Linked DNA regions of Mus musculus. The protein of the gene in region 2 interacts with the protein of the main gene of each other region in a pairwise test. Links are inferred from orthologs where the notes say so. Each region holds a gene or a part of one and is shown on either strand. Other genes may lie near its edges.

Region 1 (11,345 bases), on a different chromosome or scaffold from region 2:
GTTAGGTGAGCACAGTGGTCACGGGTCCCTCACTCTCTCATTCCCAGTGAGCATCGTACGCAACACAACTGTTGCACTTTTTTTTTTTTTTTTTGATGGGCATTTTAAGTCGCTCCAAGGTTGGGGCTCCTTGGAATAGCGTTGCTATGAAGATACTTCTACATGTCTTTCGAAAAATATGGAAATACACTTCAGATGCCAGTGTTATTTTAGCTTTGGCAGAGCCTGCCTGCCAAATGTTTTCCAAAAGCGGTTAGGCCAGGTCCATGCCCACCACCATCAGGAGAGAGTGCCAGGTTCACACTGGCAACTCTTATACAATTCTAAGCGACACTATCTTTGAAGTGCGTGCTGGCCTCTTACACTTCAGCTCCAGTACTAGGTAACTATGAAAATGAATGACCTACAAAAAAAAAAATGTCCGAGATGTGTCGTTAGAGGAGGAAAGCAGGTTGCAGGCCAATACAACTCCACTTGTAAAAAGCTGTACAGATTCATGAGCATGGGCCAAATTCAGAAAGGCGGCGCTCAAAGTTCTCCTGTCCAGTCCCCTCTGAAGAGCAGTGCTGCAGAGATGGCTTAAGTTGTGAGACTCTGGGTCACTTTGACTTTTCATTTTTCATTTTACACCTTTTGGGTATTGCTGCTTTGTTCTTTAAGACAGAGCCTTGTTCTATAGCCCTGGCTGTCTTGGACTCTAGCTTCTCCCAAATCAGAGACAGTCGAGAGCACACCTGGCTTGTTCTTCACTATTTTCAATGAAAAGTAAAATCCTCCATTTCCCTCACATACCCTTCCATCACCTGAGGCCAGCAGCCCGCCCGGTCCTCATTACTTCCCAGCATCCATCCCTGCTCTGGAATTACCCTGGGCAGGGCCTCTGGGACAAACCTCCTGGGCACTGTAATTTCCCTGGCTGCAGTATGTCATTAGACTTGGTGCTGATGACGCGACGCCCCGTGTGAAGCAAAGATTACAGCCCCTGCTCGGACGAGACAGGACAGTCTAGCCCTGGAACAGCCCTCCCTGCAGAGCTTCTCCCTTCCCGTAGCCACTGGCATCTCCAGCCTCCTGTTAAGACCCACAGCAAGGCTTGGAATGCCACAGACTTCCATTCTCTCCCTAGGGGGTCACTCATGAGCCTCCACATCCTCATCTGTAAAATGGGCTAAAGTGACAGCATTCCCTTCAGGACCACACAACACAACTTGTGAGAATCTCTCCCACACACAGTGGGCTTGCTTTGTTGTACTTTTTATAACTACTGTACGTGTGTCCGTGATGCGAATATACGGGTGTTGGAGAGAAGAGGATAGCTCTCTAAAGACGAGTCTCTCAATCTATCTCGGCATGGGTTCTAGGATCAAGTTCAGAGCATGAGGTTTGGGTGGTGTCCTAGGTAGGGGTACTATTGCTACAGTGAAACACCAGGACCAAGGCAACTTGGGTCTTACACTTCCATATCACTGTTTATCATTGAAGGGAGTCGGGCCAGAACTCAAATAGCGCAGGAACCTGAAGACAGGAGCTGATGCGGAGGCCATGGAGGGCTGTTCTCTGCTGGCTTTACTAGCTTGTCCTCATGGCTTGCTCAGCCTGCGTTTTGTTTTGTTTTGTTTTGTTGTTTTGCTTTGTTTCGAGACAGGGTTTCTCTGTGTAGCCTTGGCTGTCCTGGAACTCACTCTGTAGACCAGGCTGGCCTCGAACTCAGAAATCCACCTGCCTCTGCCTCCCAAGTGCTGGGATTAAAGGTGTGTGCCGCCACTGCCCAGCTCGGCTTGCTTTTTTATAGAACCCAGGGTCACCAGCCCTCAGTGGCACCCTCCCCCATCATTCACTAATTAAGAAAATGCCCTATAGGTCTGCCTACAGCTGAATTTTATGGAGGCATTATCTTAATCGAGGTTCTGTCCTCTCAAATGACTAAAGCTTATATCAAGTTAGCATAAAACTATTCAGTGCCACTGATGGACACACAAACACATCAATGTAAAGCCACAACCTTCCCTTTCTTGTTCATACCCCAAGATCACACGTTAATATAAACATCACAGCATAAAACATTTTACAGACTTACTTTAAAAAGTCCCACAGTCTTAGGAATCCAAGCACTTTCACCGGCTGGGCCATCTTGCCAGCCCCTAGGCTGTTCTAATTGTGACTACTCTGGTGTTTGTGGTTGTTATTACCACCCTAAGAGGGACAGGTTCTCATTCACTTTTTGGGAAGAAAATAACAAGAACCACCTCTTTGTTTTCATGAGGTATCTGAAAGTAAGAAGATGCCCACTGTTTGGGAGGGAAATTTGGTAGAAATATGAATGCATCCCCCCACACTCCCGGAAACTCAGTCACTGAGCATAGATTCATCCAAGCAGCCCCTGCAGTGTCTACTATGTTGCTGGGTATCATTCTAGATGCCAGGGAGCTAGGCTGTACAGTCACAGAGCTGACCCTGTGCCACAGGAGTACAACAGCAACCAAAACAACAAATAGAGACAATCATACGCACAGTACAACGACACTGTGAAGAAAACTCTGGCAGGATAAGATAGGAGAGGTGCTGGGACACCTGGTGACAATTTCAATCATTGTGCTCAACAGGGCCAGAGCTCTCTCTGCTCGTACTTGAAACCAAAGTGCCCACAGAAGAAGAGAAACTGGCAGGTCTGAAGCCACCATTTACTGTAACCCTCAGAAAGGAGGAAGCGTCCTCCATGTGTCTGGTATCCCTTCCGCCAAAGCTTCTCTGAAAATGTCAGCCCCAGGTCTATCTTCATCTTCTGGGGTTCATTGAAAGGATGTCAAACCTGGGGCCTGGGCCCAGCTTCTCAAATACCCAGAGCGGCTGGTTATGGCCTCGCTGGAAGGAGGCTCCTGAATGAGTCTGTGTGGGTCTAACAGTCACCTCAGAGATTCCAAAGTGGACCCAGCCTGTCCCCACAGAGGCTGTGTGCACCCCCCAACCCCTCCCCACCCCTAAATCATCCCTGAATTAATCAATGAGCGTGCATTGGTTCGAACTCTCCAGGAGCCTCCTCCAGCGGCCACTTTGTGTTCAGTAGATTAATTGCAGCTGGGGGAGGGGAGGGAATCCATTTTTAGAAAATCATTACTTTCAGAAAGAGAGGGGGGCTACTTCTGGCTGAGGGAAAAGTGCTGAGTTGGCAGCTTGAGGCCTGCAGCTCCAGCGCCAGGAAACCGGGACTGTACCGTGCAGGCTGTTCCCTGAAAAGCCTGTGTCCACACTGCCCGAAGGCAGGCCACCCTGGCTTTGGAGCCATGGCTTCTGGTGGCCTTGCCTCCTGACTGGCCTGTGTTCAACAGTTTGATGGCATCCTAAACAGAAGGGCTCTCACCCCGGTGTCGACCATCCCCCACAATCCATTCGCTATCTTCTCTCCAGCCCACTTTGCTGTGCATACCACCCCGAGGACACTGTCAGCCCTGTCTAGAGAATGTCTAGACATGTCTAGAGAATGATGAAGGTCGGAGACTCCTAATCTCCACTCCCTCAAACTGATCATTTCATTGATTTAACCGAATGAAATTGTTGCATCTGTAGGGTCAAAATTAGCGATCCCACATGGCTCAGCTAGCTCTCTGGGTGTATTTTCTCAATAATCCCCATTCTGGCCCCACAGGGCAGGTCGAATACCTATTTGTGTTTCATAAATGGAGGGCCAAAAGTGTTGGGTGACTCACCAAAGTGAGCACTCCAACCCAACTGTGCCCAATTCCCTAGCCAGTAACTGTGAGCCATTTATTGTTTGCCATATTCTAGGCACCCTGCTTGCCATTGACACATCTGGAATAGCAGTGGACTTGAGTCCGCTTTCTTTGAACTGTTGGGAATACAAACCAACAAAGAGGTCCCTGTCACTCTGGGCTGTGTCTCTGGGTGCATGTCTGCCTCAGCTACAAGCTGTGTAGGGTTGGGTCTTCTGGGGCTAATCATTTACCCTCTGAAGAATAGACTGTTTCAGGAAGATCCGCCAGCATCCTCTGCAGGATAGCATGATCTTGGGAGAGTCCTTGGTGTAAACAAACATTGCAAATCCTGGGAACTGGGTTTAGAGGTCAAAAGGCTTCTGACCTTTCAAACTAGAATTTACTTAAGAAAACACAGGCACCTGCCTTGCTCACCTTAACCCTGCCCTACCCAGTGATTACACAGCTAAGTGATCAAATCAGACCTAAAACTTCCTGTGGAGGAACCTCAAGAAATTGCCTGACCAGCAACAGGGGGTGACGGCTCGTGTACCCACAGGGAGGTCCATTATCGAGACTGTTTGGGCAGTCCTCAAGAGAATTATCAGGACACTAAAAAGGTCAGAACGGCTTACACTCTTGCTTCTCGCTCCCTTGTGCCCCGCCTTCCCATTACCTTTCCCCTTCTTTCCACGTGATCATGGCCGCCTCCATTTATCTACTCTCCTTCTCTCTGCCTCTACTACCTTCTTAACTCCGCCCCCCCCCCCCCATGCCCTAAATAAAATCTACTCTATACTAAAAAATAAGAATAAAAAGGTCAGAGCCTAACCAAGTGATTTTTTTTTTCAGGCTACATTAAACCTAACACAACTCTGCCCCCACCCCCACCCCCAACTATCCCCTTTCCTCTTCAGAGGCAGACCGAACCTCCAAGGGAGGCTGGAAGAGATGTCTACAGAACAGCCCTGGGCACAGGCAGTGGATGGTGTCTTCTGCAGCAGAGTTATCAACTTCCACCTAACGCCAGATGATCTGAAGATGCCAGACTTCAGAGTGGTCTGACAGCCACCCCACCAGAACTCACACTCCATACCCAAATCTGGCCTCCTTCTAGAACTCTGTGCCTTCCAAATCCAGAGGCTCTGCTCCCACAGCAGGGGCAAGGAAGTGAGTTATGGGACACCGGCCACACAGGATTACAGCTCAGGTCATAGTTGCCAGTTGACTTCCTTAGCCTCCAAAGGCCTCCATTCTTGCGCGCGGGGTGGGGGGTGGGGATCCTAAGAAAGATTAACATCACTCCTGGCACCCAGTGATGTGCCTTTAGTATCAAAGGTTGGAGAGAGCACTCGTTGCTCTTACAGAGGGTTCTGGGTTGGACTGTCAGCTCCCACCCACATGGCAGCTATCTGTAACTCAAGTTCCAGGGGATCTGACATCCCCAGGCATCAGGTACACATGTAGTATTATTGATATGTGTATAATGAGCATCAATCTAAAACATGAATGGGAAGTCCCAGCTCAGCTCGTGCAGGCAGAGAACTTAAGAGGGACCTCACAGAGCCCCAGGGTGAACAGAACCACGGGACTGGTGAAGCCGTCAGTCATGAACATCCCAGCGACGGAAGAATGAAGCCTGAACTCCCTCCGTCATCACTGGAGGGGTGAGGAGGTGGAAGCCTCCATTTCCCGGGTGCCACAGTCCCCTCCCCTGAGGAGGATGAATCAGGACGGTGTGGAAGGAGCAAGGGCCAATGGATCCTGGTTCTTGAGGATGTCCCTGCTCTTCTGTCCCTGACCCAATCCTCCCCCCACCCCAGTCTCCCAGGGATACTTTTCCTCCTGAAGTCAGCCACAGGGCTCCCTCTAGTCACTTCCCAATATACAATGAGAAGACCTGGGTCACACCTAACAGAAGGGTATCTAGGGGAGGGGGTCCTCCAGACCTGGGAACTAAGCCAAAGTCCGGGCCGATTCACCTTTGTCTCCACTGATAGACCTCCCAGCCTCCCTCCAAGCCAAGACAAAGCTCTGAACAACAAGGGATGCAGTATACATTTTAAAAATTGTTTAATGGAACATAAACTCCTTTAGAAAAACATTCAGCTAGGTGATAACACCCATAGAAAAAAACACCAATCTTGTGTTTATCTTTTTTTTTTTAATTTGGCATGTTATTTGCATTTATATTAAAGCAAAGTGCATCTTTTCTTTATTCTTCTCGTTTATACACATTGCACAATACATAAATAATGATGCTTATAAAACGTCTTTATATTTACAAGTAATAATATATTTATATATAACATAAAATACATTTTTCTTTAATAAATCTCAGCTTTTTTTTTCTTTTAAGGAGTCCTTTCCTCTCTCAAAGCACTACAATGCTAAATTTCCAATGAGAATGCTTCTCTTGTTCATTTAAACCTTTGTAGTTAGAAAAATAGCTTATGTTAAATTCTAAACATGCTCATTGAGCTAAGAACAGTGTCAAAGTATCATACGAGCGAGCGTATGAGCTGAGAGAAGGGCTGGGAGCCAGCCAAGGGATGGTACCTTTGTTGTGACGGGGCTACACCCTTCTCAGCAGGAAGGGGGGGCACTGCGCAGGTCCCTCCCTGATGCCCCTCGCTGGTCTACAGAGCTCAGCACACAGGATGGGGGATGGGGTGCTGAGCTGACTTTCCACATCTGGGAGAAACCTGATGAAAAAACCACCACGGCTGGGACCCGGTGGAAGGGCCTGAGAGGGTACTGGGGTAGCAATACTGTGACTGGGGCTGTCCCGGCAGCCCTTGGGAAGCCCATCTCAAGAGAGAGATCCAGGAGCAGATGGCCAAAAAAGACAGACTCGACAATGGCAGCGGGTGACAGGCGGCAGTAAGACAGGGATGAAAACAATTGGTTCTGGTTCAGCCTTCTAGCAGGCTGGCTTCTCAGAAGCCTGTGGATAGGCCCGTGTCCTGTGGGGGCGGGGGCGGGGCGGGGCGGGGCAGCTTCGGCAGGCTGGAGCAGAGCTTGGCACCTGCTGCCAGTCTGCCCAGGTACTGCCTCTGCCCCACCGAGCGTGTCCAAAAGGCTAGAGAGACACACAGCTTGGCACTATGAGCCTCTCAGCCGGGGGCATCCATAAAGAACACACACACAAAAAAGCACTTCCCCCATCTGTCGCTCGGGTACACCCCTACGCACGGACAACCGAAACGCTGATCCAAAGGGAAGGTGGTGCCCACTTTCACACACCATGCTTGGCAGTGCTGACTCTCGTTTCCTGTCTTCGTATATGGGGGGAGGGGGTGTCCTGCCAACCACACCCACCACCTCAAAACAAAAACAAAACACACACACACAACCCAACAAAAATCCGCACCATAAGCTAATTTCTCAAAGAACAAGACAAGCGGGACACACGGATGACGAGAAAGGAGGAGGAAAAAAAAAAAAAAACAAACCAGAACAGAACAAAACAAAACCAACAATGAATGGCAATAACAACACCAACCAAAGAGTTTGCATGAAAAGCAATCACTCGGGAAAGGTTAGCAGCAAGTAGTTTGAACGGTGGCCTGCTCGGCTCACGATCCGCCCTGTCCTCTTCTCCCCACCACACGACCGACTACCGGCTGTTGAAGATGACCTCCAGCCAGCACGGGCAGCTGCTGATGAACTGGCGGGTGTAGCACTGGCCCCAGCCCTTCACAAAGCTGATCTGCACGGTGAAACCCGTCCATGGTTGCTGCATGAACTCGTGGTCATTGGGCCGCTGCAGGCTGTAGGCTTTCTCATAGTCAAAAGCCTTGATGGAGAAACCAGGGAACACTTTGTGCACCAACAGCGTCCTGGAGTCCGGGTTGTCCAGTGTGGCGGACTTGATGAAGATGGGGTAACTGCTGCGGTTGTAAACCCACACGCCATCCACTTCCCGCGTCAGCTGGATGCCACAGCCGATCTTGCTCCGCACTTTCTGTACCAGCTGACTCTTGTTGTCCGAATTGAGCTGTCCGAGGCAAAAGCCATTCCCCTGAGGTAGATCATAGAAGATATCCAGGGAGGGCTCTTGGACACAGTAGAGCCTCCCCACGCGAGTCTTCTCCTCCCAGTATGCCACCACGCACCAGTGTGACCGATCCCCAGGCTCCAGAAGAAGTTGGGAATCTGCAAGACAAAAATGGCAGACAACCGTTGGTGGTGACAGAGACCGGGTTCTTTTTCTCCTTCTCGAATATACATAGACACATTTGTACACGGTGCATTCATGTGGAGTGTCCCCATAAGCAGTATAAAAACAAAAGAGGGAGTGAGGGTAAGCCTGGGCTAGCTGTAGGGTAAGCCTGGGCTAGCTGTAGGGTAAGCCTGGGCTAGCTGTAGGGTAAGCCTGGGCTAGCTGTAGGGTCTACAGTGCTAATGGAGGGAAGACATCTTAATCCACCTTTAATTACGAGGCTTACTGCTGTCATCTTCCCTTCTCGTCTCATCTGAGCCTGCAGCCTCAGCCCCAGTGTCTACTTGTCCCCAGAAGCACAGACTCTGGGACCGTTGATAACCTGGTCCTGCTGTTTCGAGCGGGATAAGGCCTCAGAAATAGCCTAAATTAAGAGTTGCTTCCCACGGGTGTGGAACCTGGAGGGACAGTTTCTCTACTCCCCCAAGACCTGGATGAGAGATGCTGGCCTACTGGGTGGTGACCCAGTCAGAATGAGAAGCCAGGTGGTCCACCTGCGGCCTCTGTACCAGCTTGTTCGATTCTCACATCCACATCGATGCCCTGCTCCCAAGGGAACATCAGACGGTAAAAATAAAGATGAGGGTGACTCTGAGGATGTTATTTTTTTAAAGCCATCTTCCCGACAGAAACGCGCTCTCTCTCTCTCTCTCTCTCTCTCTCTCTCTCTCTCTCTCTCTCTCTCTGTATGACAGCAGCAGCCTGTACAAAGAAGGTTATTAGTTCAAGGCCAAGTGCCAAATTACGACATGCAGGGGGACATCAGCCTAGACCACATGGCCAGCCCAGACAGAAGAGGCCACGTCTAAAATAAACGTGACCATCCTTGTATACTCCTGCCAGTCTATCTCGCTGGCGTGCCCCCTTCTCCTCCAGTTTGACCCTGCACAGCCCATGCTGCCCTCTGTGACATTTTCACCGACCTGTCTGCCCGCCCCTCCTGTAAGCCACCCCCTGCCCCCGCCCCACAACAACCTGGAAGTGACACTGGTAAGGTGACTTTCCTAAACAAGAGTTCTGTGAACTTTGCGGGGGGGGGGGGGGGGGGGGAGGCCATGTTTAAGAAAGCCCCTCCCCCTCGAGTGGGCAGCAGACTTGAGAGAACAGGCCCCAGACTGAGGCCTATAAATCTCCCAGCCCCGCTGGGCTGCAGGAACGCTGTGGTTTGTGGCGGCAGGGTGGAGAGCGGAAGTCTTGTATTTGCTAACAAAAATGGGGGAAGGCAAGAGGGGGAAGGAGTGTATATGGGGGGGGGGAGCACCAAGGGCAAAATTGAAAGCCTCCTCCTGCCTCTCTCCCACTCCAGTAAGTCTGGTGGGCCCTGAAGATGGAGCTGTACCGGGAATGTGTCTAGTCCTCGAGGCCTTTGTTGTTTCTGGGCTCAGAGGGCTGTCCCCATGCAGGGGCAGGACTGAGAAAACTCAGCTTGCTGGTAACCCAGGGCAGCCTGGTACATCAATCCAGTCCAAGTTTTATAGGCATGTTAGGACCTGGGAACCAGTCAGATCGTTGCTTGCTTGCTTGCTTGCTTGCTTCTTTTTCTTTTTTTTCCACAAAGGTAGCCACATACACACAAATCCTGAGTGACTGTCCCCTACTTACAGACACCCCCTCTAGCTGGCCTCCCCGACCCATGCCCAGCTACACACAAAGAGGATGCCAAGATAGTGTTGGATTCCTTTCCTGAATCCCCACGCCACTGGGGAAAAAAAAAAAACATCACAGACCTGCACTGTCCCCTGCCCCCAGTGCCATGGACCCACAACCCAAGCATATAAGACCGCATGTGTCTGAGTGTGCGTTTATGATGGTGGAATGTCTGTGCCCGCACATACTAGAAAGGACGAAAAACAAGAGAGGGACGAGGGCTCAGAGCAGAAGGTGACTCATCAGGCATTAACTTGTTTCTGCAAAGTATCCATCAACTGCTAATAAACTCGTGAGCGCTGGCAAGCTCTGAACTTTCTTTCTTGCAGAGAGGGAGCTCAGCTCTGAAGGCCACACCAACGACCCCTAAAGTTAGTTAGTCCAAGAAAGTAAGAAAGACACTTCTGGACACAAGAGTGCTCACCCAAAGTGTGTGGAACTTGGGTCAAGAAACCCGGACAGGGAAAGGAAGACTTGGGGAGCAGCTGAAGGGGGGAGGTTGGGGAGACTCTTTAAGAGGGGCCTTACAATGCCTGTTTCATGCAGCCCAGCCCCACTGAAACCTGGCACCAGACACCAAGGGTAGGGGGAAGGGAATGTGAAGGAGGAAGGAGGAGGGAGGAGGAGTTTGGGATCAAGTTGCTCCCCATGCCAGGCCTGTTGGCCTCCTTAGCAAGGGGTGAGGGTCCTGTCTGCCAGGCAAGCCTCTGGGACAGAACAAACTGGGCAATGCTGGAGCCTGAGGCCCGTGGGGAGAGAGTATGGAGGGGAAGACGCCTGCCTGGGTTTCTCTTTCATCTACACAGCCAGTCTACCCAGCAATTTGCCGCCAGGCTACCTCCCGAGGAAAAAGCCCTTTTCTGTTGAGGTTAATGGCCCAGCCCAGATAAATGGTAGTGTGTGGGTGTCGTCCCCTCAACGAGCTCCAGGAAGACCCCTGCTTGCACCTCCCTGTCTCCAGCCCCACACAAGTCAGCTTCACAAGCCCCCTTGCTTCTTGACCAGACTATTTCTGAGGCCCAAAACACTCCAGCAAACCCCTCAGTGCACGCATTCCCAACGCAGAAGTCCCACACCTTCTGAGAACGCAGGGCAGCCGGGCACTATGAGACATCACCCAAATGCCCCACCTTGGACTGAAAAATGGCTGGGCTCACTTATGGGAAATACCCAACATCGTTTTTCTGCGGAACAAATACCTAAGCTGGGCCCGCAGCCCACAGTCTTCCAACAAAGGTTAGGGTAGGGATTTCTCTCCTAGAGTTTCACAGGACACACGGGCAGGGCCAGCGAAGTCTTGGTCACCTTAAAAGGGACGGGAAGAGGACAGGAAGTCCAACTCTGGCTTTACCGCTTGCATCCCCAGCGCAAACCGACTACTGCTCATCGATTCTCCCAGCATTATAAGCTTTCTGGTGTTCTTCTGCAACTTTTCCACCCCAGAAAGTGTACAGGGGCTTGCGTTTAAACGGCGCGTACTCATTCAAAAGCATCCAGAAGAAAAACTACATTGTAAAAAGCTCCGTAATCAGATGCCTGCTCACAATTTTTTTTTTATTACAGCTGAGGGGATTTTTTTTTTTGAAGCAATACCAGAAAAAGTGCTGAATAGATCTAAAATTCCATTAAGGTGTTCGCCCCTCCCCCTCCACATTTTCCTAATGCATAAAATCTTCCCTTTAAGGGGAAGGGAGCAGTAGAGACCTGAGAGGGAGGGTTTCATGGTGTCTGCACTGTTCATAGGGAAGACCACTGAGCAAGAA
Region 2 (13,043 bases):
TGGAGGCCCACCCCATGGACCTACACATAGACAGGGCAAGCACAGACACTGTGCGGGAAGTTGCAGACTGCCTCTGCCTGAGGCGGGGCAACCACCAAGGTCCAACAGGGCAGGTAGGAGACTGGACAAGACACTCAGGGCCATGGAAGGTGCTGCCCAGGATCTTCACAGTCATGTGGTCCCTCTTAGTCTTATGCACTCCAGGGTGGAGGCGGAGATAGATGCAGGACCACCCAGGACCACCTTTGGGTATCCCTGACACAACCATGACACAACGACACTATTGTCACCTCAGGCTCAGGCAGCCTAGCCAGGGGCTACAGGTGATAGGTGCCCTCCTCACCATACGGTCTCTCTCTGTAGTCCTGACTGTCCTGGAACTCACTCTGTAGACCAGGCTGGCCTCCAACTCAAGAGATCTGCCTGCCTCTGCCTCTTGAGTACTCGACTAAAAGCATGCCACCGCCACCTAGCTAAGGTGATGGGTGTTTAATGCAGGCTTAGCTGGGTGCACTAGGAATGCCAAGGCAAACAGTGGGGGCCCAATCTGCTTCAGACAAGCCATTGCAGTGACATGATGGGCTTGTGCCACCCAGCTACTACCAGGTCCAGTTCCAAACAGCCACTCTAGCCTACCACAAAGGTCCTGAGTCGGGGGGAGGGGGGTCGGCATGGGGAACACTGAGAGGAAGAGCAGCACTCAGTTCCACTGTGGGACTCACAGCTAGGTGGGGATGCAGCTGGGCAGAGGACCACAGCCTGTGCCACTGGGGTAGGCAAGACCAGTGCAAGGGCTGCCCCAAATCCGTGGCCTGAACCAGTCAAGCCCAGTCTGGGTATGAGACAGACAGCAAGGGGGATGGCAGATGGAGTGCCTGCCTACCAGCCCAGCAGGGGGAGGGAGAGAAAGGACCTGGGGGTAAAGATCATTTTAGGTTATAGAACAAGTTAGGCCAGCCTGGGCTACCTGAAACAATGCCTCAAAATATCACAAAAAACAACACCCCAAAGAAAGAGCAACAGACAAAGGCAGTGTCGAAGCCAGCTATGGTGCAGATATCATATGGGTAATTGGGGTGTTCCCTTAAAGACGAACAGGGACCAAAGGCCTGGGGTGGATAACGAGTCAGTGTGGGAGGCTGAGGTGTAGCCTATGCAAAGGCCCTGCAAACAGAGCCAGGCTGGCTTTCCCAGTGTCCTCTGAGAATGCCACAGGGTGGCCCTCTGATCCTAGCACTGTAGGAGCGGAAGCTAGAGGATCACAAGTTCCGGACCAGCTTGGGCTACACTGTGAGCCTGCCTCAAAAACTGCATCAGCGAAACAAGTAACATAGCAGGCTTCCCCAGCAGCCGGGGAGCTAAGACACGTAAGACACATGGGCAGCAAAAGGAGGTAGCAGTGGCTAAAGAGGCTGACATCCCATGGCCCCTAAGGTCACAGGTCCCCCAGCCCAGCCCTGGTCCTGTCCTCAGGTCCAGGCCCCCCATCACTCCTTACTCCCACAACAGCTTCATTCCATCTACATGACCCACAGGAGCCCCAATGAAGCCTCCTCTCACAGGAAGCCCTCCAGCTGCTCAAAGGACACACAGCCCTCGGGTAGGAGTCACCAGCTCCATGGCAGCCGACATCTCCTTCTCCACCGGTTCCTAAACCATCCTCACTTCTGCCTGGGCCCTCAGATCTCGAGTCCTAGGTCAGTTCTGCTGTGGTCAGCAACTGTTACCTACTTGGGTCTGCCTTGCATGGAAGTAAGGGAGAAACCAACATGGAATCCCAGACAGACATGGGTACAGGGCACAGCCTGGTGGGAAAGGAGGTCAGCCTGGGAGGGCTACGAGCTCAGGAGGCTGTGTGTCCTTGGGTGAGTGCCTGGCTCTCTCTGGTTACTAGCCCTCTTAGAGGGTCTGTCAGTACACTCTGGACTGCAGCTGGTGTCCCCTTCCCTTTTCCCCTCCCCCTCCGGGTGCTCAGGTGATTTATGGGTTCAGTCTGCCTGGTGCAGACTAAGCGGTACGCTCTTCCAGAGAATCCTATAGTATCATGGGGCTCATTCTGGCCTGGGAAAGAGGCTGGCCACTGTGAACTGGCATCACAGGGCTCATGCCGGGGATGTGAAATTCTGGGTTTTGAGCTTGAGAGATCATGGCCTTAGATCCAGGATCAGCACTCTTATCCAGCAGTCCCTCGAGGTGTGGGGACCCAGGAAAGGGGGTACCCTGGTGAGAAGGCAGACCAACAGGCTAGACCTCTTTGTTCAAGCTGCTGGTAGACAGGGGAGCATGCTCTCCTGGAGATCAGGTGACCGAGGTCCCAGGGGAGAAGGGCACAGTGATGCATTGTGGGGCGGAGTGACTGCTGGCTTGCTCTGCAGGAAGGAAGCCCTGTCATGCAGGCTGGGAGGCCAGGGGGCCAACCTCCTGATGTCTTCCTCAAGATGACACCCAGTCAACTTGACCCCAAGGCTCCCAAGGGCTGTGGAGACCTTCAGGGAGGCAGCTTGTGGCACTCGGAGCATGACAGGAAGGGCAGAGTAGGCAGGTTAGGGGGCTCTGCCTCCAACCCCCATCAGCACCAAGGGTTTTCAAAAGGGGTGGGACTATAGGTCAGGGGTGGAGCCTCAGTAAGGGGCGGGGCCTCTGATCACAGGAAAAAGTCCACACCATAGGGCACAACCACTGCTGCCTGCTACCCTTCCTCAGGCACCCCCAGCAGCCCCAATTTAAACATAGTGCCCCAAGTCCCAGGATAAGAGGGACATAGCCTTGCTACAGTAGTAGAGTGCTACCCAGGGAAGATAGTCAAGTTGGAATGGAAGTGGGGAGGCCCCTGAGTACCATGTGGGGTTGACAGAGGAACTGCTCATCTCGCAGCCTGCCTCGAGTACTGGGGCCCAACCTTTAGGCTTTACACAGAGACAGACAGGAGGGAGAATAGGGGACCAGGGTGTCTGGAGAACCTGAGAGAGTCCCAGGTCCTAGATGTGGCCCATTAGGACCTGCCAGGTGCACAGCTCAGGGCAGCATCTGTGGCCACAACCCCACTCCACACTGCACGTGGAAGGTCAGGTGCTGCAGAGGGCTTGGAGGCTATCTGTGCCTCAACAGAGAAGATGGGGGTCTGACCAGTCTACACTTCCTGATAACTTGGAACTTACATCTATTTTTCTTTCTTTCTTTTTTTTTTTTTTTTAGCTCAGGTTGGCCTCAAACTCATTGTATAACTGAGGAAAGCCTTGAACTCCCTTCCAAATAACCGAAATGAGCCACTAGGCCTAGCTTTTTTTTTTTTCTTTTAAAAATCAGGGTCTGGGGGTTGGGGATTTAGCTCAGTGGTAGAGTGCTTGCCTAGCAAGTGTAAGGCCCTGGGTTCGGTCCTCAGCTCTGAAAAAAAAAAAAAAAATTTAGGGTCTGGCTGGGCAGTCGTGGTGCACGCCTTTAATCCTAGCACTTGGGAGGCAGAGGCAGGCGGATTTCTGAGTTTGAAGGCAGCCTGGTCTACAGAGTGAGTTCCAGGACAGCCAGGGCTACACAGAGAAAGCCTGTCTTGAAAAAAAACAAGGGAAAAACAAAAACAAAAACAAAAACAAAAACAAAAAAATTCAGGATCTATTTGCCCAGGCTAGACTCAAAATCATGGCTCCTCTTGCCTCAGCTGACTAAGTGGGGGATGAGAGGTCAAGCATGCTAGTGAATGCTCAGCTCACTGTTCAACCTATACCCTCAGCCATACCCTCAGCAGAGTCTTAGTCTGTAGCCCAGTCTAACCCAAAACTCACCTTCCTCCTGCCTTAGCCACTAAGTGATGAAAAGGCCAGTATGTGCTGCCCTGCCACCCGTGTCACGTGTTTGAAGCTGTTAGGTTTGGGGTGGCTGGTCATGGGGCACAGTGCTGAGCCTGCTTTGGGGATCTGCTGGGCGATACCCACCACTCACCCAGTTCAGTGGGCTTCAGCAATTCGTCCAGCATGTTGAAGAAGGGGAGCTTAACCAGGCGTACCTCCGGCTTAAGGGTCTTGGTGGGCAGGCGCCCCAGTCCATTCAAGTACTTCCCGTACAGCACGGGGTAGTCCACGGTGGGCCCTGACAGGGGAGTCCTGGGCATGGAGTGTAGTGCCAGGGGATCCAGGGGCCGTGGTGCCTGTGGGCCGGGCTCTGCACTCTTCTTGGCATAGCGAGTCTCATACAGCTCTTTGATCTTCTTGAAAAGCTCTGGGCTACAGTCGAACTGCACCAGCTGCAAGGCCCTGGTCACCAGTTCGTGCTTCAGCCCACTCTTGCTCCGGCCTACAAAGCCCAGCAGCATCTGCAGGTCTGATACTCGGAAGCTCATCACCATGTTCTGCAAAGGGGAACCACAGCGGCTCTCAGGGGTGTGATCCTCTAATCTGTGTGTCCCCTTACCCTCAGCTCCCTGTGGCAGCCACCAAAATCCTGCTTCCTATGAGTGCTGTCCCAGACTAGGTATGGCCTGCTAGTCTCAGGCCCCTGGGCACTATGGTCTGAGACAGGTCTTCCAGTAAGGCATCCTGGACCCTGCCCTTGGTTTTCAGTCAACCACCAGGGTACCCAGGAACAGAATGGGCCCACATGAGAACAGCTAGTCTCTGAAACCAAACAGAGCAGTGACCAAGCTAATGACACAGTGACACAGATGGGAAGGCCTAGGAATGAACCTATGGGGTACTTCAAGCAAAAAGAAACCAACCAGAGCACAAGGGGACTCCAGAGCACGACCCAGGCCCTCAGGCAGGCTGCTTGCACTCATGACAGCTGATACCTGGGCATGGCACGTCCCCACAGATGGAAGGACCAAGCATCCGTGAGACACAGGCCAGTTGGGCCTGGGGCCTCTTGTGTTAAGTCCTGATGCTGGCCTCCACTGAATGAAAAGTAGAAAGGGACCTCCACAGGGCTGGGACACATACCCGAAGTGTCAAAGCCCACCTGACCAGCCCAGGGGTCATCATCCCACTGGATGTTCACCTGCTGAGTCCCTACGAGGAAGCTCCAAAAAACACCAGAGACTTGGGGTGCCAGATACTTCAGCATGACTTAAGTACTCCCAGTATGACAGGGTGGGCTCAAGTTTGGCCTGGTGGCTACCAGGCTTCCCAGATCTCTAGAGGATTGTAGGGAAGCCCCAACTCTTCAGGGACTCTAGGGTATGCGGCCCTTGGGCACTCCCAATGTGGCCTTCACTTCCTACCGCATGCAGAGACAAACAGCACACAGCACATTTATACTCAAATCCTCACAACTCAGGAGAGAGGCACAGTGAGGTAGGTGCCCTCGAAGGTCCAGCTAAAGTCAGAGAGCTTTGCAGCTCCAATGGTAATCACGGAGTTCCACCACCCAGGACTGATGGCAAGCGTCTGAGCAGCCAGGTCGCTGCCATATGGTCTGGGTCAGGTTTCTCAGCAGCTGCTATGGCCTGAGCAGCCTGCTGGAGAACAGCAGGGCATGGGGACAGACGCACAGGAAGAAGCCTCCATCCATCACCCGGAGTGTATTTCCCGCCCTGGCACAGACTACCAGGGCCGAGTTTATAAACAGCATCAGCACCATGACTTCTGGAGATTCAGCTTGGGGTGTGATGTGGAGTGACAACCCAAACACAGAGAGAGAAGTGGCTGTACTTAGCTGTGACACTAGCCTAGGCTCTTTAGAAAGCTGAGATGCCCAACACAGGGGCAAAGGACGAAGGCTTGGCCCCAAGCCTGCTGCAGGCACCATTCACCCACAGGATGATGGAGCATGGTCCATTCATCCACAAACACCACAATCTCGCTTCCTGGAAACCCCAGGATGCCTCAAAAGACAGAATCTCTGGCCTGTTGGGACAGATTGGAGGAAAGCTACCAGAAAAGTGGAGGTATTGCTATCATTCTTAAAACACTGTGAGGGGCCATGACAGGAGTCCTCTGGACCATTTCAGAGTTTCAAAGAAGAGTCAAGTTCACCTAACTAAGGTGGAGGTGGAGGTCTAGGGGGCAGAGAGTCAAGTAGAGGTCATCAGCTTTTATTTAAAGAATCTAGACCGCAAAGAAGCAATCGCAGCCCTTCTCACTGAGGGGGGATGAAGGTACAGAGTCTTTGGCCTCACCCCAATGTTCTAGGATGGTACAAGGGGGACTTCAAGGAGTAAAACTGTGTTCCAGCCGGGCGTGGTGGCCCACACCTTTAATCCTAGCACTTGGGAGGCAGAGGCAGGCGATTTTCTGAATTCAAGGCCAGCCTGGTCTACAGAGTGAGTTCCAGGACAGCCAGGGCTACACAGAGAAACTCTTTCTCAAAAAAACCAAATAAAAAACAAAAAAAACTCCTGCGTTCCAGATCATAGTTTACATATCTCCATCTCAAAGTTCTGTTTCCCAAGAGAAAACCACTATGTAAATGGTGTAGATTTGGGGTGAGTAAATGGTGAGAAAGAGGGGTACACTTTTTTTTTTTTTTTTTTTTTGGTTTTTCAGGACAGGGCTTCTCTGTGTAGCCCTGGCTGTCCTGGAACTCACTCTGTAGATCAGGCTGGCCTTAAACTCAGAAATCCGCCTGCCTCTGCCTCCCGAGCACTGGGATTAAAGGCGTACGCCACCACGCCCAGCTGCACTTTTTTTTTTAAATGATTTTTTGAAACAGGATTTCTCTGTGGAGCCCTGGCTGTCCAGGAACTCACTTTGTAGACCATGTTGGCTTTAAACTCACAGAGATTTGCCTCCCTCTGTCTCCAGACCCCTGGGATTAAAGGTGTGCCACCATGCCTGGTGAGGACGACACCTTTTAATCAGATCCTCTAGAATAACCCTAAGGGTCCCAGTGGGGAGGGAAGGACCATGTCACAAGGCAGGCAGAAAAACGGGGGGGGGGGGGGCAAGTCTGAATCTTATGGGTGGGAAGATGCTTGAGGGGGACTGAGGAACTCCAATAACTCTGGAGGGACAAGTGTGCTGGAACCTTGACAGGGAGACAGAGCAGAACTGGATGTAGGCTAAGCCAAGCTGTACTTCAAGAGGGTTTAATGGGGACTCAAGTCAGGTCAGAGCCCTGGTACCTTAATGCAGAAATGGGGGAACAAGTCTAAACAATGTTCCCCTGGACTCAGTCAAGGTGTCCTGTGAGGATCAATCTGAGGAACACATAACAAGGAGGTGGTGGGTCCAGTATGCCAGGCAGCAGAGAAACTCTACAAGGCGATTCACAGGTTAGAGATGGGTTAGAGTGAGACAGGATCACTGGAGGCTGAAGTGAAGAGGTACCCCAGAGCTGACAAGTGGGGAGCGGGACTCGAGGGCTGAGTCTCTAAAATGAACTTGGGCACTTATAGTTGGCCTGAGTCTGGAGTCAGAAGGTGTCAGTCTGAGCCCCGAGAATCAGAGGACTTGTGGCAATCCCTGTAGACCTTCCCCATGCAGGCCTGTGGGGGAGGAAAGAGGGGGGGCACCCGGACCTGAGTCCTACTCGTTGCCTTGGAAACCTGATGGCGAAGTCACTTTGCATTCCTTCGGCTTCCCAGACCACAGAAGGACCCCCAGTTATGTCCCAACAGAGCTAACCCAAAGGAGAGGACAGTGCCTGCACCGGGAAAGCTGTGTAGCCACACTGTGGGAACCCCTGCTAGGGTCAGTAGAGAAGTGACAGTAGACGGCGGGGACACCCCAGGAGGGAGCTGGCGACCCCGCCCCCGGTCTCCCCGCCCCCCGCCCGCAGGTTCAGCCCGCGTCCCAGTCGCACCCTCGCCGCCCGCGCCGCCACACCCCGCCCTCCCAGCTCCCTGCGAGGAGCGGTCCGTACTCCGCCACCCGCCTGTCCCGGCCGGAGCCACTCTCGCTCACTCACTTTGGCCTCCACCAGCTCTGCCGCCATCTTGGCCACTAGCGTCCCCCGCGCCGGGAGGCCCCAGCCGTCGCGTCACGTGAGGGCCCTCGACTAAAGGGCGGAGCCTGCGCGAGAGCCAGTAAAAGCGAGTGCTGGCTCCTTCCTCCACGCCCCCGCGTCTGAGAGGCGGGAGGATGCATCACGCGCACGCGCCTACAGGAACCCCGCCCGAGGATCTGACCAATCACAACGGACAATTGCCAAATCCCGCCCCCCACGGTTATTTTTCAAGGCGCTGGCCGCTACCACGCCCACTCTGGGGAGGAGTCTGCTGCTTAAAGAAATAGCAGCACTTCCCGCCGCCTCATTTCTCTTGCTTTAGAGAACCGCTAAATTTTTGTGTTTATTTAGTGTGTACATATGTGAAAGTCACAAAACAGTCTAGGAAATTAGGTTTTCTCCTTCCACTGTGTAGGTAGCAGGGATGAACCAGCTAGTGCCTGAACCATATACCCTTTGCCCTGCTCCCTCTCTTACTGGCCCCACCTTTTCTGTAGAGTACAGGCCGAACCCCCTGCCTCGTTTTCAAATTGGCTTGCGGTGGCAACAGTTGTGGGTTTTTAAAAATTGTTTTTGTTTTTTGAGACAGGTTCACCATGTAGCCCTGGCTCTGTGGAACTCGCTTTGTAGACCAGACTGGCCTCAAACTCACTGAAATCCTCCTGCCCCTGCTTCCGGAGAACTGAGATTAAAGATGAACATAACCAAGCCCTGCGTAGCCTTGCTTCTTTAGGGCACAGAAGCCCCTCTAGCTGCATTTTTCCTTCTTTATTTGTTGGCTCAAGGCTACGCCCACTTTTCTGTGGTCTGTTTTATTTATATACTGGGGGAGACACGCAATTTTTGATCGTCCAAAGACAATCTAAGGGGTTTGTATATTTCCACAATATGGATTCAGGGAATCGAACTCAGGTCATCAGGTTTAGAGACTAACGCGAATAGGTGTGGGTGCGCGCGTTCCAAGCCCCCTAGGTGGACATCAGAGGACAATTTGCTGGAATTGCTTTCTCCTTTAACCAGGTGTCACAAAATGAGTTCTGTGGATCGAACTCCTAATAGACTTCTGGGCGATCACCATTTCAGGGGCCCTCCTTGGCTTTCTAACTACCCACAAGCCCCACCCAACCCCCAAATTTTCGAAGCTTGCACTGGGGCCACGCTCACTTCTAGCCCCGCTCTGGGTTTTTAAGCGAGAACGGCACCGCCCCTTGCTTCCGTTTCATTGGGAGGACTGGACCGCGCCCACGTGGGGAGGGTGGTCTTAAAGGTGTATGTGCTTCCTGCTCTGGTGCATTTTATGGCTCATGTTTACGGTTGCATTTTGATGAAGAGAAGGGTTGGGGATGAACAGAATGCGGCCGGGCAGGTGTCCCTGTTCCCTTCGAGCGGCAGCTGGCAGGTGTAGGGCTCGCATGGCCCTGTAGTGATGGGGTGTGAGCCTAGTCGGCCCTGTGCAGTGCACATCTGGGTCGTCTTGCGTGTGTGTGTGTGTGTGTGTGTGTGTGTGTGTGGTGTGTGTGTGTGTGTGTGTGTGGTGTGTGTGTGTGTGTGTGTGTGTGTGTGTGTGTGGTGGGGTGTGAGCCCAGTTGGCCCGGTGCAGTGCACATCCGGGTCGTCTTTCGTGTGTGTGTGTGTGTGTGTGTGTGTGTGTGTGTGTGGTGTGTGTGTGTGTGTGGTGTGTGTGTGTGTGTGTGTGTGTGGTGGGGTGTGAGCCTAGTTGGCCCGGTGCAGTGCACATCCGGGTCGTCTTTCGTGTGTGTGTGTGTGTGTGTGTGGTGTGTGTGTGTGTGTGTGTGTGTGTGTGGTGGGGTGTGAGCCTAGTTGGCCCGGTGCAGTGCACATCCGGGTCGTCTTTCGTGTGTGTGTGTGTGTGTGTGTGTGTGTGTGTGTGTGTGTGTGTGTGTTAGCATTCTGGTCGATTCTCTGCAAGCCACTCGATCCTTACTCTTGTTCTAACTAAATTAAAAAGAGAGAGAGAGAGCTCTTCCAAGCTTGACTTCTATCGCAAGCCCCCTGTGGCTTCCTAGTACCCACAAGAAGTAGAGTAAAAAGTGTTTTCTTTTGAGAACCGGTCTCATGAAGCTCAGGCTCACCTGGTATTCCCCTCTGTAACTAACCCCACTGTAGCTTCTATTTCTCAAGTGCTGGCGTGACAGGCACGGCTCACCACACCTTATTCTGTGATGCTGAGGATTAAAGAAGGGTTCTCTGTACGATAGGCAAGCACTTCACCAATCGAGCCCCCGCCCCTTTTGTACTCTTGTTCGATATTTATTTATTTATTTATTTATTTATTTATTTTTGGTTTTTCGAGACAGGGTTTCTCTGTAGCCCTGGCTGTCCTGGAGCTCACTTTGTGGACCAGGCTGGCCTCAAACTCAAAAATCTGCCTGCCTCTGCCTCCCAAGTGCTGGGATTAATGGCGTGTGCCACCACCGCCCGGCCGATTTTTTTTTTTTTTTTTTTTTTAGATTTATTTATTTTAGCCAGCCAGTGGTGGCACACAGCACTTGGGAGGCAGAGGCAGGCAGATTTCTGAGTTCAAGGTCAGCCTGGTCTACAGAGTGAGTTCTAGAACACCCAAGGCTACACAGAGAAAACCTGTCTCAAAAAACAAAAACAAAAAAAATTATTTATTTTATGTGTATGTATGTTTTTTCTCTATGTTTATTTGTGCATCGTGCCTACAGAGCTCAGACCCTCTCTGGAACTGGCTGCAGATGATTGTAAATCACCATGTGGGTGTTGGAAACTGATCCTGGGTCTTGTGCAAGAGTGCTCTTACCACTGAGTGGGCTCATCTAACTGCCATGGATGCCCTGACTCCTCTGAGCTATACTTCTGTTTTTGTTGTTGTTGTTTGTTTTGAAAGGTTTTGGTTTTTTGAGATAGGGTTTCTCTGTGTAGCTCTGGCTGTCCTGGAACTCACTCTGTGGAACAGGCTGGCCTAAAACTCAGAGATCCACCTGCCTCTGCTTCCATGACACATGGGACTAATGCTGTGGCCACAATCCTGGCTTCCACTTTGGTTTTTGGACAGATTTTTTTTCACTTAACCTCCCATGCATCGGGTGTGCTAAACTGGTGGCCACTTCAGGGATGCTGGGGTCTCAACCTCCCCTTTGCTACAATGACAGATGAGCTACTATACCTGAATTTTTGCATAGTTTAAGAATTTGAACTCAGATCCCTTGTGTGTGCCGCAAATGATTTCCCTACTAAAACAACTCTCTGGCTCACTACCATCATTATAGCTTGACAGCAACACTTCTCTTAAAAGATCTGTCTTGGGCTGGAGAGATGGCTCAGCAGGTAAGAGCACTGACTGCTTTTCAGAAGGTCCTGAGTTCAAATCCCAGCAACTACATGGTGGCTCACAACCATCCGTAATGAGATTGGATGCACTCTTCTGGAGTGTCTGAAGACAGCTACAATGTACTTACATATAATAAATAAATAAATCTTAAAAAAAAAACTGTCTTCCAATTTCTGTTTTAAGTGGCCTTTCAGAATGGACTTCATTTCTTAGAATTCTGTAGGCACCTGGTGTCACATGATCAGAATCTATCTAATGTGATACATTCTTCTTCTTTTCTTTCCTCCTTGGCCTAAACTGGAATAATCCACCTAATACTGGACCTTGAGGAGGAAGACCATCTTTTAGAGACCTTAAAAGAAAGCTTGAAAGAGACCCTTTTTGTTTGTTTGTTTTGTTTTTCAAGACAGGGTCTCTCTGTGTAGCCCTGGCTGTCCTGGAACTCACTCTGTAAACCAGGCTGGCCTCGAACCCAGAAATCTGCCTGCCTCTTCCTTCCAAGCGCTGGGATTAAAGGCGTGCATCACCACTGCCCGGCTAGATCCTTTTTTTTTTTTTAATAATGCTTTTTAAAAAGATTTATTTATGATTATAAATAAGTACACTGTAGTTGTCTTCAAATGCACCAGAAGAGGGCGTCAGATCTCATTATGGATGGTTATGAGCCACCATGTGGTTGCTGGGATTTGAACTCAGGATCTTCAGAAGAGCAGTCAGTGCTCTTAACCACTGAGCCATCTCACCAGCTCAGATCCTTTTTTTTAAAAAATACACACACACACTTTATTGTCTTTTTTCTCTTTTTTAAAAAAGAATTATTTATTTTTCTTTATACAAGTCCAGGCTGTCTTCAGACACACACCAGAAGAGGGCATTGGATCCCATTACAGATGGTTGTGAGCCACCATGTGGTTACTGGGAATTGAACTCAGAACCGTTGGAAGAGCAGTCAGTGCTCTTAACCACTGAGCCATCTCTCCAGCCCTTTTCTTCTTTTCCAGACAAGATTTGTGTCTGGAGTCCTGAAACTTGCTCTGTAAACCAGGCTCTGCCTGCCGTGTGCTGGGATTAAAGGGATGTCATTGCAGGTTTCCGTTTAGTATTTCTAACTGTGTGTATATGCTCACACGAGGGCAGTGGCTCAGAGTCCAGAAGACGGTGTTGGGTTCCTTGTGAGACTTCTTATGTGGGTGCTGGGAATCCAACCAGTATCTTGTGTTGTATCAGCTCTCCTACCCAGGTAGCCATCTCCCCATCCCCAGCTAGGCCTACATTCCCTTTCATTTCACCTATTTGTTTTTTTTTTTTTTTTTAAAGATTTATTTTATTAATATATGTAAGTACACTGTAGCTGTCTTCAGACACTCCAGAAGAGGGAGTCAGATCTTGTTGCGGATGGTTGTGAGCCACCATGTGGTTGCTGGGATTTGAACTTTGGACCTTTGGAAGAGCAGTCGGGTGCTCTTACCCACTGAGCCATCTCACCAGCCCCATTTCACCTATTTGTATTACTTCATGGCTTGTTTTCCTTTGTCATGCACATACGACTTTGTCCGCAATCAGTGTGTATGTGTGGGTCAGAAGTTGACATCAGGTGTTGTCCTTCATCTTTATTTTCTACTTAATTGAGGAAGAGACAAGAGAATCCCTTTGGATCAGTGGCAGGCTAGTTTAGCCTCGTGGAACTCCATATTCTCCAAGGGCACGCTGAAGGTTTTTATGCAGGAACTGGTATTGAACACAGATTTTCATGGTTTCATGGCAAGTACTTAACCAATTGAGCGATGACTCAAGCCTTGGTTTTTGTTTGTTTTGTTTTTTTTTTTTCTTGTGATTTTAGCCAGAGTCTTAT

Evidence for each region.
Region 1: the proteins of Pias4 (region 2) and Smad7 interact in a two-hybrid assay, tested with the Homo sapiens proteins (2 studies listed by BioGRID and IntAct). The link is inferred for Mus musculus from reciprocal best matches to the Homo sapiens genes PIAS4 and SMAD7.

The regions. Positions count from the first base shown.
Region 1 is NC_000084.6:75,390,350-75,401,694, reverse strand, and holds the end of Smad7 (mothers against decapentaplegic homolog 7), read right to left. Parts: intron 7,869-11,345; coding exon 7,330-7,868; 3' UTR 5,761-7,329; downstream 1-5,760. UniProt on the Homo sapiens protein: Antagonist of signaling by TGF-beta (transforming growth factor) type 1 receptor superfamily members; has been shown to inhibit TGF-beta (Transforming growth factor) and activin signaling by associating with their receptors thus preventing SMAD2 access.
Region 2 is NC_000076.6:81,159,849-81,172,891, forward strand, and holds the start of Pias4 (E3 SUMO-protein ligase PIAS4), read right to left. Parts: upstream 7,873-13,043; 5' UTR 7,864-7,872; coding exon 7,837-7,863; intron 4,343-7,836; coding exon 3,937-4,342; intron 1-3,936.